Coturnix japonica: one gene and its partners. The protein of the gene in region 3 interacts with the protein of the main gene of each other region in a biochemical or structural test. Links are inferred from orthologs where the notes say so. Each region holds a gene or a part of one and is shown on either strand. Other genes may lie near its edges.

Region 1 (4,216 bases), on a different chromosome or scaffold from region 3:
CGGCTCCCCCCTGCCAGTCAGGCACTGCTACCAGGCTCAACAGAGCCCTCAGTGTCCTGTGATTTGTCACCTGCCTGCAAGCAGCAGGACTTGGCCTCTTGCAGCACAGAATCTGGCCCCCAAAACCCTACTAGACATTGATAACCAAGGCCCTGGTGCTCACTGCATTGGCTGCTGCCCACATGGGAGATGCTGTTCCCCCTTTCACTTGCAGAGCTGCTGGCAGGGACAGCCCTGCACACCAATGGCCCTGGTGCTCCTGTGCTAGGCAATACTCCTTGTGCTCCGGGGCATGGTAGAGGTGGAGGAGAGGCCAGGCAGACACACAGTGCATCCCACAGCCAGGCACAGCTCGGCCTCATTGCCTGGTGCACTGTGGTTTGGAAGTGCCACGTGTGCCCCCAGCACAAGAACCGTGAGTAGACTCTGCTGCTGGGGGAGGCATGGGTTGGGTCTGGGTTGCTTTGGGTTGCTCCCCACCACAGCAGGGCAAGAAACTGACCCTGAGAAACACTGCACACAACGGGAGCCTTAAGCCCGGGCCCTAAGCCTGAGACAGGAGGACTCAAAGGCTGTGTCGCACCATGGGGCGCTGGGGTGGCTGCAGTACCTGCTGAAGCACCAGCCTGGCTGGCCATCCTGCTGGCGGCAGATGCACTGGGGGAGATGGATGGTCCTCGGGGTGAGTGAGGTTGGACAAGACAGCCTGGAAATGGAGGGGCTGGCAGGAGGTGAGCAGAGGGAAGAGGTGGGGGGGGTGTGAAGGACACGAGGGCAGGAGCAACCAGGACACAGGGATGAGTGTGCAGGAAGGGTGGCAGCAGGGGAGCAGATGAAAGAGTGATGTGAAATCAGTAGATACAGATGGCAGCCGCACAGACAGCATCACGTCAGAGGCACCCAGGCTCCTCTCTTGCTTCCTCCCCATCCCCAGGCTGGTATCAACACGTACCAGGTTGAGAACTGGGACAGGCCAGGACTGACAGACACAGGGAACCACTGCACAATATCCCCCCAGCCACAGCAGGCTGTCAGCAAAAGCTCATCTCCCCTCTGCCTAAGTTAATTCACCCGTTCAGCCTGGCACAACATGGAAGGACCCACAGTGAAAACAGTTGTTTGCAGCAGATGGGCCAGACTGGCCAAGAGCTGGGACAGAGACTTGTATGAAATGGGAACAGGGTGAGAGGGATGGATGGGGCAGAGCTGCTCCAGCTGCACTGACTGTGGCTCTGGGTGTGCAGCAGCAGCAGCTCCCCAGAAGCCCGTGGACACCATCCCTCCAGCACAGAGCATTTACAGACAGGCTCAGAAGTGCCTGGGGCTCCCAGGTGGGCAGCAACAGCAAAAACGGGACATTAACGCAGAGTCTGGGGCTCAGAACCCTTCTGCCCTGTCCCCCTCTGTCTGAAAGGTGTCTCTCAGGTGCAGCCACCACAGCTGTGCCAGTACTGTGCACCTTTGGGGCTCTTGGATACCCAAGAGCTGAGCCCACACATCACACCAGTGCCCCAGGAGGGCAGAGCAGCTCCCTCAGCAGAAGCCCTGCATCTACGAGAGAGCCAGGCATCTCCACAGCTGCCTGTGAGCCAAGGGCACGTGCAGGGTAAGAAGTGCAGCTGGGTGGAAATCACACCCCCAGGATGGGCCCCACAGCATTGGCGGGGTGGCAGCAGTGCTGTGCTCTGGGGCTGTGAGGAGGCTGAGCTCTGCAGGGCCACGTGGCTGTGACTCAGGACGGCCTCAGCTACGAGCAGAGCTGCTGGGAGCAGGGACACAGACTGGCCCCGTTCAGGGCTGCAGCAGGGTGGGCTGTGACCCCAGCACTGAGCCCTAAAGCCTCCAGCAGAACACCCAGCTGACCCCCACCCACAGCCCCGTCCCTGTGGAAGCCGTTTGTACCTTTGATGGTGCCGGTGGGGATGATGCCTTCAGCGGTTCCCCCGTAGCCACCAGACACGATGCTGGTTTCGTTGAGGTTGGGCCCCGACACCATCACTTGCTGCAGGTCCTGGGGGAGCAGAGCATTAAATTGAAGCACAAGGACAGACCCCCAACCCATGGGGCCGACGTGAGGCCCCGGCGCAGCCCCACACCTGCTCCAGGCCGTCATCTTCGGGCAGGCTGCCGGCGTCCCCGTTGCTGCTGATGGGGATCTCCATGGTGGCGGCTTTGCTCATGATCCCATCCGACATGGTCAGGGCCTGCGGGGACACACGGTTCGTTCACGGGGCTCCTCGTGTCCCCTCGGTCCGAGCTCCCCACGGCTCCTGGCGCGGGGCTCGGGGCCACGTCGGCAGAGCGCGGCAGGGCCCGGCCGGACCGGTCCGGTCACATTCCGAGCATCGCCCCGCCCGCACCGAGCGCCGTTATCACGAGCTGGACCCGCCCCTCGGTACCGGCATTGGGGGCAGCGCTGCGGCCCGGCCCGGGACTCGCAGCCGCCGCTCGGAGCCAACGAGCACCGAGAGCCCGGGCGGGACGAGCAGGAGCGACACGAGCAGCGGCTGCAACGGCACCAGGAACCGGGACGGGACCGGGGCGGCCCAAAGGCCGGGCTGTCACTGCACGGCCGGGCCCTGCGGCGGCACCGGGGCTCCCAGCCCGGCTCCCACCCGGGGCCCGACCTTCACCCCGACCTTCAGCCCAGCCCAGCCCAGCCCAGCCCGTCCCGTTATGTCCCGTTATGTCCCGTTATGTCCCACCTGCCCCGCCCGGCCCCGCTGGGCCCCCCCGCCCCGGAGGCTCCGCGGCCTCGATCCGCCTCGGCCCGGACGCGCCGGAAGTTACGTCACGACCCGCGCGGGGGGCGCCGGGAGACCGAGCCGGAAGTGACGTGCTGTAGATCCCCGAGCGGAAGTGCGGCGGGGCGGAAGTGCCGGTACTTCCGGCAGCGCGGGGCGGGCCGACATGGAGGCGGCGGCGGCCGAACAGCAGCAGCAGCTCCGCAGTGTGAGTGTGGGGGGACGGGGGGAAGATGGTGGGCGGCCCGGTTCGGTTCGGTTCGGTTCGTCCCGGTTCGGCGGTGCCGGGCCGTCCCGGTGACCGTACGTGCCGCTGTTTTGCAGCTGCGGGACTTCCTGCTGGTGTACAACCGCATGACCGAGCTCTGCTTCCGCCGCTGCGTCTCCGACCTCGGGCACCGGCTGCTGTCACGGCGCGAGGTGAGCGGGGACCGGGCGGGACGGGACGGGACGGGACGGGACGGGGTGAACGGAGCCGAACGGAGCCGGTGCCGCCCGTAGGAGCGGTGCCTGGACGGCTGCGCCGGGAAGCTGGTCCGCTCCAACCACCGGCTGATGGGCGCCTACGTGTCCTTGATGCCCGGCATCGTGCAGCGCCGCGCCGCCCGCACCGAGCACAGCGCGGAACCGGCCGCACCGGACGGACACGAAGCGGCTCCCGCTGATCCCGACGCGGCTCCCGCGGGCACGTAACGGAGCCGCGGGGTCGGTGCGTTGCCGTGGCCGGGAGGTGGCTGCGGGACGGTCACCTGATGGCAGCTCCCGTGTGGAGCCGCTGAACTGCCCGGTGTCACAGCCGGGCCAGGCCGAGCCGCGTTCTCTGCACCCACAGCAGCAGCCGGGACTGCCCGACATGGCGGCCAAAACCGGCAGCACAACGGCACCGGGGGCAGGAGGAGGAAGGGAACGTGTATGAGCTGCTGTGTGCACTGCAGCTCCCGGCTGGAATCCAGCACTGACTGGGCTCCTGCTGTCCAGAACTGAACATCTTGTGTTTGTATTTGACCATTTCATGGGGTTAATAAAACGTTTTATGTGTCGTGCTGTCAGTGTGTCACAGGGGTACACGGACACTGCTCCACAAGCAGCGCTGTGTGCTGCGTCCTGCTGCCAGCGGCACCTTCCTCCCAGCAAAGGTTCCCACTTTGCTCCTTCTAGGAACTGTTTCTTTGTGTTCTTGCTGCTGGAGCAGCATCAGCACAGGCTGCAGCTCCCAGCCCTGCAGGCATTCAAGGCCAGGCTGGATGCGGCTCTGGGCAGCCCTGGCTGCTGGTTGTGACCCTGCACACAGCAGGGGGTTGGGATGGATGAGCACTGTGTGCAACCCAGGCCATGCTGTGATTCTATGCTATGATTCTGTGATACCCTGTTCCCTGGCTTCCCTCTGATGGGTTTCATTGGCACTTAGAAGAGTAGACAAATGCACACAGATGTAAGGTCTTTAAGTGCCAGTAATTGAGACAAGTCGACCT
Region 2 (4,188 bases), on a different chromosome or scaffold from region 3:
TTTTAAGGAGTTGAGGGTTTGGGCAGGGGGAGGTGGCAGTCTTTGCTTTTGCCCTGTTATAGAATCACAGAATTACAGGGGTTGGAAGGGACCTCCAGAGATCAAGTCCAACCCCCCAGTTACAGTTCCCTACCATTTATTCTAGTTGTATACCAGTGTATGTTTATTCCCAGTTTTGAAAGGTCAGTTCAGCAATAAAGTACTGACGTTCAGGTTAATTTCAAGAGATTTGGTGTATCTTCTCGGCTACTGCTGAACTACTGACCATTACTGCTTAAAACTGACCATTCTATGATGATTCTATGACATCTTCTGAAACTTTCTAGAATACTTAAAAATGCTAATCCTGATCTTGTGCATGTCGTATATGAAAATGGATGGATGCATAGGAAATTGAAGAAGGAAAGCAAATACAAAATTACTCATGAGGATTCAGGAGCACCTACTGGCATCATCAGCACTGCATTACTCTACTGTATGTGCATAGTTAAATAAACAACTCTAAAACAAGTATCCTTAGCTCTGCTCACCTTGATAGCGGACCAGAGTCAACAGGAAAAGCTGAACACAGTTGCAGACACTTCTAAATTCATTGTTGGTTGCAGGCAACTGCTCTGCCTTCTGCCCCTTTCCCATGTTACAAAACTGTTCACCAGGACCATTGCTCTGCACAATCCTGCCTGATTTTACCTCCTCGTGGCCACTCTTCAGAAGCAAGAGATGCAATGCATAGTAATGCTGCCTTCCAACTCGCTCTCATTCACAGCTCCTGGAATCGGATGAATTGAATACCTGTCTGCTGCTCAAGACAGGCAACTGTTCTGTAAACAAATGGAGCCAGTGCTTCCTGACAAGGAGTTACCCAGCACAAATACAGCACACGAACACAGTGTAATCTACAAGGAAGGACACCGACCAGCCCAGAGTTGGACTGGGACACAAGTCTGTGAGACTTTCAAAGGCACCTTTGGGCTAGAAAGCACAATGAGAAAGGCCAAGAACTACATATAGGTCTGCTCACAAAACAAAGAAATCAGTAAATACACAGAGCTCTAGCAGAGGGCTGGACACAGGCTGGCTGGGGTAGGTGGCAGGCTGAAAGACCTTCTCCCCTCTGCCAGCCATCCCAGCCCATCACCACCCTCTGCACAACCCTGCACTATTTGGCTTATCCCTGTATGGCAGATTGGATAAAAGCACCCCACTGTCAGCTCCCGAGGGAAGCTGTGCTCCTGCACAGCCTCCCCTTAGGTTTGGGATTGGGAAGGGACCCTAGTATCACAAGCATTGCCTCCTTTGACACAATAACAAGAGCACGCCTCTCCTTCCCATCAAAGCCACTCCTAGCTGCACCGTACACAGAAGCACGTGAAGTTGGGAAACGCTTTCCTGCTACTTATTTCCATCACTCATCTCTATTTCAGTGCGCCTGCAGCAGAACCTGTTCCCTACTCCATCTCAGGACCCCATCATCCTCCCAGGCTTGCCAGAAGTGCATGGACAGCCCTGCGTTGCTGTAATGCTCAGCACCCAGCTCCATGGGGCTCTGGAGACCAGAGGTTGGGAGGCACAGCAAGACAGGCTGGGAAACCACCACGGCTGTCATGCAGATGGAAGGATGCACCAACAAACTATTCCTGAGGAGGGTCTGCGCCCCACTGTGTGACTGGTGCCAAGGAATGGACACGCATTATTTCCAGCTGCATCTCACACATAGAATAACAGAACCACAGGGGTCAGGAGGGACCTCTGAAGATCATCAAGTCCAACCCCTGCTAAAGCAGGTTCCCTAGGGGAGGTCACACAGGACATTCAGGTGGGTTCTGAGTCATTCAAGAGAAGGAGACTCCACACTCTCTCTGTGCAGCCTGCTCCAGGCCATGGCTGTCCCAGCCAGCTGTCCCCGTTGTTACTCAATACTCCTGTGTCATTTCCATAACACCTGTGAGCTCCGGGGTCATTTCCACATCCCCCATTTGCTTGCAGTCCATGAGGACAGCACCAAGTCACCAAACAGAGCAGGGTGGACAACAGCACAAAGCGGTGACAGCCACAACCTGTGGGGAACTAAGGACCCTGCTCCAAACCCAGCACCCTACAGAGCTCAAAGGTTTCCAACTCTGAGGCTCAAGAAAGACACACACACGGCAGGTGACCACAGCCACCTGCCAGGTGACCTTCAACAGTCACCAGCAAGATGGGGAAAGTTGGTTCCATGAGGTGTGCCGGCACACGGAGGCCCCCAGAAAGCCAAAATAAAGCAAGCAAGCAGGACAACAGCCCGCATTACAAGGAAATTCAATTGAACGTTAGGGGCGGACGCGGGGCTCAGGGAGCGCTTTTTGTTCCCTCCCGCCGCTTCCATCCTCCTCGGGAGGAACTCGGCACCGAATCTCCGGGGTCCCCAAGGCGGAGGCCGCCGCCGCCGTGCCCCCCGCGCCATGCCGCCGCCCCCGGCCTGACAAAGCCCGCTGCCCCCGACTCACTTTCTCGATGGATCCCGGCAGCAGGCGCTCGAGCAGGCGGCACAGCACCACGCCGTCCTTCAGGGAGGACTGCAGGAAGCCCTCGGGGTCGGCGATGCTCTTCTTGGGCGACTCCAGCACGCCCAGGGCGATCAGCCACGTAACGGTCTGCTCGGCCGAAGTCATGGCCGCGCGGAGCTGGGTTGGAGGGGAGGGGGGTGAGGGGGGGGCGGCTTTATGGGATCGCTGTCTCCCCTCCCCGGGCGGGGGTTTCAGGCCGAGGCCCCCGCCTCCCCCATGTGAATGCGGATGACGACGCCCCGCCACACACACACACACTCACACATATACACACACACACACACACACACATGCAGCCGCAGAGCCGCCTCCTCCCCGCCCCGTGACGGCACGGGGCTTGCGCGCCCGCGGAGCCCCCCCCCCTCCCGCACCCGCGGAGCCGGACCGGGCGGTGGCTGCCCCCCGGCGGCACGAGCGACGCGGAGGTTCCGCGGGTGCGGAGCGCTGGGGGAGCCGCCCGGCTCCGCAGGCTGCGTGCGGCGGGGCCTGTGCTGCACGGGGACAGCGGGATGAGGCGGGAGGGTGATCGGGATCGATGCGTTGGTGTGAGCGCGGTGAGGCGCTGGAACGGGTTGCCCACAGAGGATGTGTGCGCCCCATCTCCGGAGGGATCCAAGGCCAGGTTGGATGGGGCTCTTAGGGCTGTTACTGCCTCGTCTGTCAGCCTCTCGAGCAGTGAGGAGGCACTCCAGATAGATGCACATTTCTGCCTTTGCCAAACCAGGGCTGGGATTTCAGTGGAGAGGAGACTGGTTGAACATTGGTCTGACCAGAAACCAGAGCTCCCATGCAGCAGGTAACTCTCACAGGAGGTTTGCCCTATGGAAGTTTACATCCTCCTGAGAAAACGTCTCATCCCCACAAAGCAATACTTCACATCAAACACACAGATTGTGGAATCGGAGGATGGCTCAGGTTGGAAGAGTCCTTAAATATCACTTCATTCCAAGCTGATTCATTCCAAGCCCTGTGCTCAGCTGCCCAGGGTTCCATCCAACCTGGCTTTGAGCCCCTCCAGGGAAGGGGCACCACAGCTTACAGCCAGCCAGCCAGAGATACTCGGGGGATAGCGGGTGCTCTCCTCCTAAGCACTCAAACCTTCTCCAGCTACAATAGAATCATAGAAGTTGGAAAAGACCACGAGTCCAACCTCAACCCACCCCCACCCCCTGGTGCCCACTGACTATGTCCCTCAGTGCCACACTACCTCACGGCAGGTGCTGTTAGAACCGTGCCAAAGCAGAAATGCTGTCACTGGGTCAGATCACTGTTGAAAGTTCTGTTAATGTCTTCTTCATTTTGTAGGGCAATGAAGGCAACTCACAGTGTTATATCCTTGCAGCATTTGTCACTTTTACCCCGGCTGTGTTCTTTGGATGGAAGTGCCCTCAGAGAGCTCTGGCAGGTCTGCCACAGCCCCAAGTGTAGCCCTGCTTCTGTACTCCTGAGACCATCGGTGCAACAGCTGCACCAGCTTTGTCTTCTAAGTGCAGCTTGGGTTAATGGCATTGATCCGTTGCGTTCTTTATTCTCCCAGAAACCAATAATGAGCATTCTGCTTGAGGCGGAGATGAATATAGAAGCACAGTCCTCGCCTGGTCTACATCACGTGTGACAGATGAAGGGTAGAGCTGGGGAAGGA
Region 3 (4,493 bases):
TTAGCCAGCAAGGCCTCAAGGCGAGCACAATTCCAGACAGACTCTTTTCTTACAATAGTTTTACAATGAAAACCAGCTCCAGAAGAGCAGGAAGCTGACCGTTTCTCTGTCACCCAATAATCATCATTCCAAAGCACAGAACTTCCCCCAGCGTTACACGAGATCACTTGAGATTTCATACCACTGAACAGCTGCTTTTTCAGAGTGAAAACAAAAGCTGCTAAAAATAACTCCTAGCAGTGCTCTCCACAAGTGTCAGTCAGCAGCAGCTCCTGCCCTTGTTATCCCAGCACACGTTCCTACTGCTCTGCATCTTCCACAAGCACAAGCAACAGTTGCTGTTTATTTTCCCTCTAACAATCCTCACAATGAAGAGGAAAACAAGGGCAAAACAAGATTGCACAACCAGCAAACATGCTGTGTTTTGTAGCCAAATTAGAGCTCTAAAAAGATACCAGTCAGAGCCCTAAGAACAAAAACAGCTCAGAAACCGCCTGCTTGCTTCCAGCTGTTAAGGCTGCACAGGTACATCCACAGCTGGTTTGTTCCCAGTGGATCTCCACAGGGCACATAAATCAGCGCCTAAGTTTTATGTCATATGAGCAAATCTTTAACCTGCATTGTTTTCCTGAAGTACCAGAGCTTTAGCCTTATCTAAGCCAAACATTCCGCATTTACCAGAACGCCTGTAATGTCTTCACTCGTGAAGCAACAGCAGAGAAGCACCATAAAATATTTAAAAATCCCAGCAGAAGTCAATGAACAGATAGCAAAACTGAGCAGCGGCTTCTAGATGGGATCCTAGGAGGTATGTGCTTCTAACTGCAGAGGAAGGAAAGCCCACTGAATGCCGTGTTTTGTTCACACGTACGTGTAAGACTTGGGTGGGATGACACACTTTCATTTCCAGCAGGAAATGCATTGAGAAAAGGAGTAGTTTACAAAGCAAGAGACAAAGAAGAACTGCTTTGCTGAGCGAGTCATTGAGTAACACAGCGTCCGTACTGAGCTCCTCAACCCAGCAGAGGAAACAGGCAGAACTTTCTCCCCACCCAAACTCGATGCACCACGTTGATTTCCAGCACTGCCACAGACATCAATTCACTTTAAAAATGACAATTAAAAAAAGGGATTTTAGTCACCTTTAAAGTCAACGCAACTGAAAGGTTTGCCTGCAGTCACACTGCCCACCATCCATCAATTACAGTGATGGATCCATCAGTTACAGTGCTATGACAAGTCTCTGTCAGATGATCAAGTGCTCAGTACACTCGTGTTCGGCTCAAAACCCTGCACAGTAAGAGCAGGCCGAACACATGTGCCACGTGAGCTCAGTTTATCTTTCTAACAGCTGCCAGCTCAGGGACTCCAAGCCTTGTTGAAAAATACAAAGCCACACACAGGAAACTGGAAGGTTAATCCACCACATTCAATTACAGAGACAGCAGCAAGGCCATCAGCCACACTTACAGCCTCTGTCACCCGCAGGGGTTTGCTGTGACACCGATTATGCTCGGCCTACACTGGGATTTTTGTTTCTACCGAGGGGGAAAAAAGCCCCGTGGAAGTGCACAAGCCACGCCTTGTTCAGCTGCCCTGCACTGCTGCCCCAGCGAGAGAGAAAGGAGCCTCTGGGCCAATGGCAACACATGGTGGTGAGTACTGAGAAGCAGCAACACAACATCCCCATCACAGCTGCAGTGCTTATGCTGGAATCCAACAGGTCAGCTTAGTGCTAACCTGATCCTAACAACTTGTTTCTAACTAATGTATAAGGCACATCCCATTCGGAGCGCTGTAGGCACAGCAGTGATTTACAGCTGAGTACGATGTTAATGAGTTGGGTTTCGATTGCTTTCTCAGCCTCTTGCAGGCAGGAACCTCCCCAGACGGGAGCCGTGCGAGCAGGAAAACGCTCAGCTCACACGGCGCGTATGGTTCGATTGGAGCGGAACAGATTGTTCGTAGTTGTGCAGCAAAAAGCGGATGTAGCGATGTGAGTTCGGTACTTTGTGGCTCCACACGGTACGATCCGCCCCCCGCCCTTCAGCCCATTCCCCCCGTGACGCGCTGCCTCCTCCCCGGCGCGGCCCCGCACAGCGCACAGAGCTCACAGTGCTCAGCTCACACAGCTCACACCGCACATTGCACAGCTCACAGAGCTCACAGTGCTCAGCTCACACAGCTCACAACGCACATTGCACAGCTCACAGAGCTCACAGTGCTCAGCTCCCAGTGCTCACATCCCGCAGCCCCGCTGGGCCCCGCCCGGCCGCCCGCACCCCCGCCCCGCGCAGCCGCCTCGGTCGGCACCACCCGCCGCCACGGCGCGGAGCGGGCTGGGCTCGGACTCGGGCTGGGCTCGGACTCGGGCTGGGCTCGGACTCGGGCTGTGGCCGCGTTCGGGCCCGCACCGGCCGCGCTGCTCCCGCCCCTCCCGTCGCCTCCATTTGCCGGCACTGGTCGCCGCCCGTCCCGCTCTCGCTCCCCTCCCCCGCCCGCACAAGCCCCAACCCCCCGCTCGTCCCCGCGCCGCCCCCGCCCTCGGGATCCAGCGCGGCTCGGGCTCGGGCCCGACCGAAGGGGTCGGTCCGCGGGTCCGCACTCACCCGTCGCCCACCACCACGCATTTGATGGCCTGCATCGCGGCTGCGGAGCGGGGCGGGGCGTGGAGCGCCGCTCGATAAAGCAGCCGGCGGCGGAGCGCGTCTCAGTCGCTCCGCAGCGTGTCGCGGCCGCCTCCGCCCTGAGCCTGCGAGCGGGGACGAGGCAGCGGCCACCACCCAGGGCGGGGAGAGAACTGCGGGAAACAGGAAGCGGCCGCTCCGCTCACATCCGGCCGGGCTCCGCGCTGCCGCTCCGCCTCCGGGCCCGCTCCGGCCGCCCCGCCCTCCCGGGACACGCTGCGGCGCCGCCGCCCGGTTCCTCCGCCCGTCGGGGTCGGGCCGGGCTTCCCCGCAGCGCTGCGACACGGGCCGGTCCCGGTCCCTTCTGCTTTTTGCCGTCGTTGACTCGCACGGAGCCGCACAGAATCGCGCTGTCACGCAGCGGTGCTGCCGGGCCGGGCGGTAGCTCGGTGTGCCCGCACACCGGGATGCAGAACCCCGCCATCCCGCCCTGCCCGGCTCACTGCTATCGCATGGCCACAAAGCTCACAGCAAACGCTCCTTTGGACACCATTTTGTTATCCCTGCCTTCAACGCTCCTCAGGCCGGTCTGCCACGAGGCTGTTGTGCACAAACCGATGCACGACATTGTACGAAACGTGTCAGTGTGGAATTAGGTTCGCTGTACAGATTTACCGATGTAACTCGAGTTAAGGCCAACCTGTGGCACTCACTGTGTGCCACCACGGACAGATGCCCGTTTCCCCTCAGGCCGGTCCCTCTCGCTCCATGTGCCAGCACAGAGCGCAGCCAGAAGCCTCCTTCCATCGGCAGATCCTCCTGCTGCCCTCTCTCCCCCTGCCATGCTGTGACATTCATTCAATCTGCCGGCAGGTTTTAGCCCAGATCAGTGCACAGCCAGCTTCCCCAGGTGGGGCAGCCTGGACCACGCGTACCGGGGCTGCCAGGCTGCACAGAGCCCTGGGTTTCTTTTTTACCCTAAGGAAACCATTTATTTCCTGTAACTGTTGAAGTAAAAGTTGAGCAGATCAGGCCCAATGGCCCCAGGAGCCTTTTCCTTTCCACAGTTGCTGTTATTCTCCTTGGAAGACGCTGCTGGTTGGACTGATGCACACATTCACCATTCTCCTTGTGTTGCCATCCATCAAAGGAAGCACGAGGAAGAGACCCGAGCAGTCACTGCTTGTGCTGAGTGACCATTCACTGCAATCAACAGAGGTGCCATCCCAGGGATTTATCCAGTGATTCATCTCCTATTCATTTCAGAACATGTCTAAATTATTTGGAAACTATCAAATGAAACCTCGTCGGTGGACAGAGCATCCCACAATATTTATTCTCTTTCCTTTGGAGGGCAATGATAATTCTCAGATATTTCATGTCAGTGTCTATCTCTGAAAAGAGAAAGGCTGTTTTTATAAAACCTGTATGTCCACGTTCCCCCGTACAGATGGAAGCTGAAACGATTCGTCATTCAGGCTGAATATCCTTAAAGCCCAGACTGCTCTGCCAATGACTTGGCAGCCCCGGGAGCTGCAGAAGGGAGCTGTGGGCAGTGGCACGGCGCTCCTGCTGCTCTTGGCTGCTGCAGCCGCTTCTGGGGCCTTTCAGATACCACACAGAAATAGAGCAGACGTGAACGCTGTCTGATTCATGTCAGGGTCCTGAGGAGATCAGAGCATGGAAAGATTCAAGTGACATGTAGAAGTACTTCTCCTTTCCCCACCTCCCAGTTCCTCCGCCATTTCTTTCTTACCCACATGGAGGACTGGAATTTGTTTCATGAAAAAGAATCGCAATGAAATCATCATTACAAAACAACATAGAATGACAAGGATGAAAGCCATTGTGGAGGAAACATTGATA

What was found.
Region 1: the proteins of RAC1 (region 3) and ARFIP2 form a complex in vitro, tested with the Homo sapiens proteins (2 studies listed by BioGRID and IntAct, with this or other methods). The link is inferred for Coturnix japonica from reciprocal best matches to the Homo sapiens genes RAC1 and ARFIP2.
Region 2: the proteins of RAC1 (region 3) and ARHGEF7 form a complex in vitro, tested with the Homo sapiens proteins (2 studies listed by IntAct). The link is inferred for Coturnix japonica from reciprocal best matches to the Homo sapiens genes RAC1 and ARHGEF7.

Annotation. Positions count from the first base shown.
Region 1 is NC_029516.1:174,017,949-174,022,164, reverse strand, and holds the start of ARFIP2 (arfaptin-2), read right to left. Parts: upstream 2,820-4,216; 5' UTR 2,706-2,819; intron 2,205-2,705; 5' UTR 2,196-2,204; coding exon 2,097-2,195; intron 2,012-2,096; coding exon 1,903-2,011; intron 722-1,902; coding exon 611-721; intron 1-610. Other genes in the region: TIMM10B (mitochondrial import inner membrane translocase subunit Tim10 B), read left to right, coding at 2,911-2,952, 3,069-3,164, 3,246-3,437. UniProt on the Homo sapiens protein: Plays a role in constitutive metalloproteinase (MMP) secretion from the trans Golgi network. May have important functions during vesicle biogenesis at certain cargo subdomains, which could be predominantly utilized by secreted MMPs, such as MMP7 and MMP2.
Region 2 is NC_029516.1:125,506,956-125,511,143, reverse strand, and holds the start of ARHGEF7 (rho guanine nucleotide exchange factor 7), read right to left. Parts: upstream 2,820-4,188; 5' UTR 2,652-2,819; coding exon 2,487-2,651; intron 1-2,486. UniProt on the Homo sapiens protein: Acts as a RAC1 guanine nucleotide exchange factor (GEF) and can induce membrane ruffling. Functions in cell migration, attachment and cell spreading. Promotes targeting of RAC1 to focal adhesions. May function as a positive regulator of apoptosis.
Region 3 is NC_029529.1:8,463,490-8,467,982, forward strand, and holds the start of RAC1 (ras-related C3 botulinum toxin substrate 1), read right to left. Parts: upstream 2,830-4,493; 5' UTR 2,645-2,829; coding exon 2,610-2,644; intron 1-2,609. UniProt on the Homo sapiens protein: Plasma membrane-associated small GTPase which cycles between active GTP-bound and inactive GDP-bound states.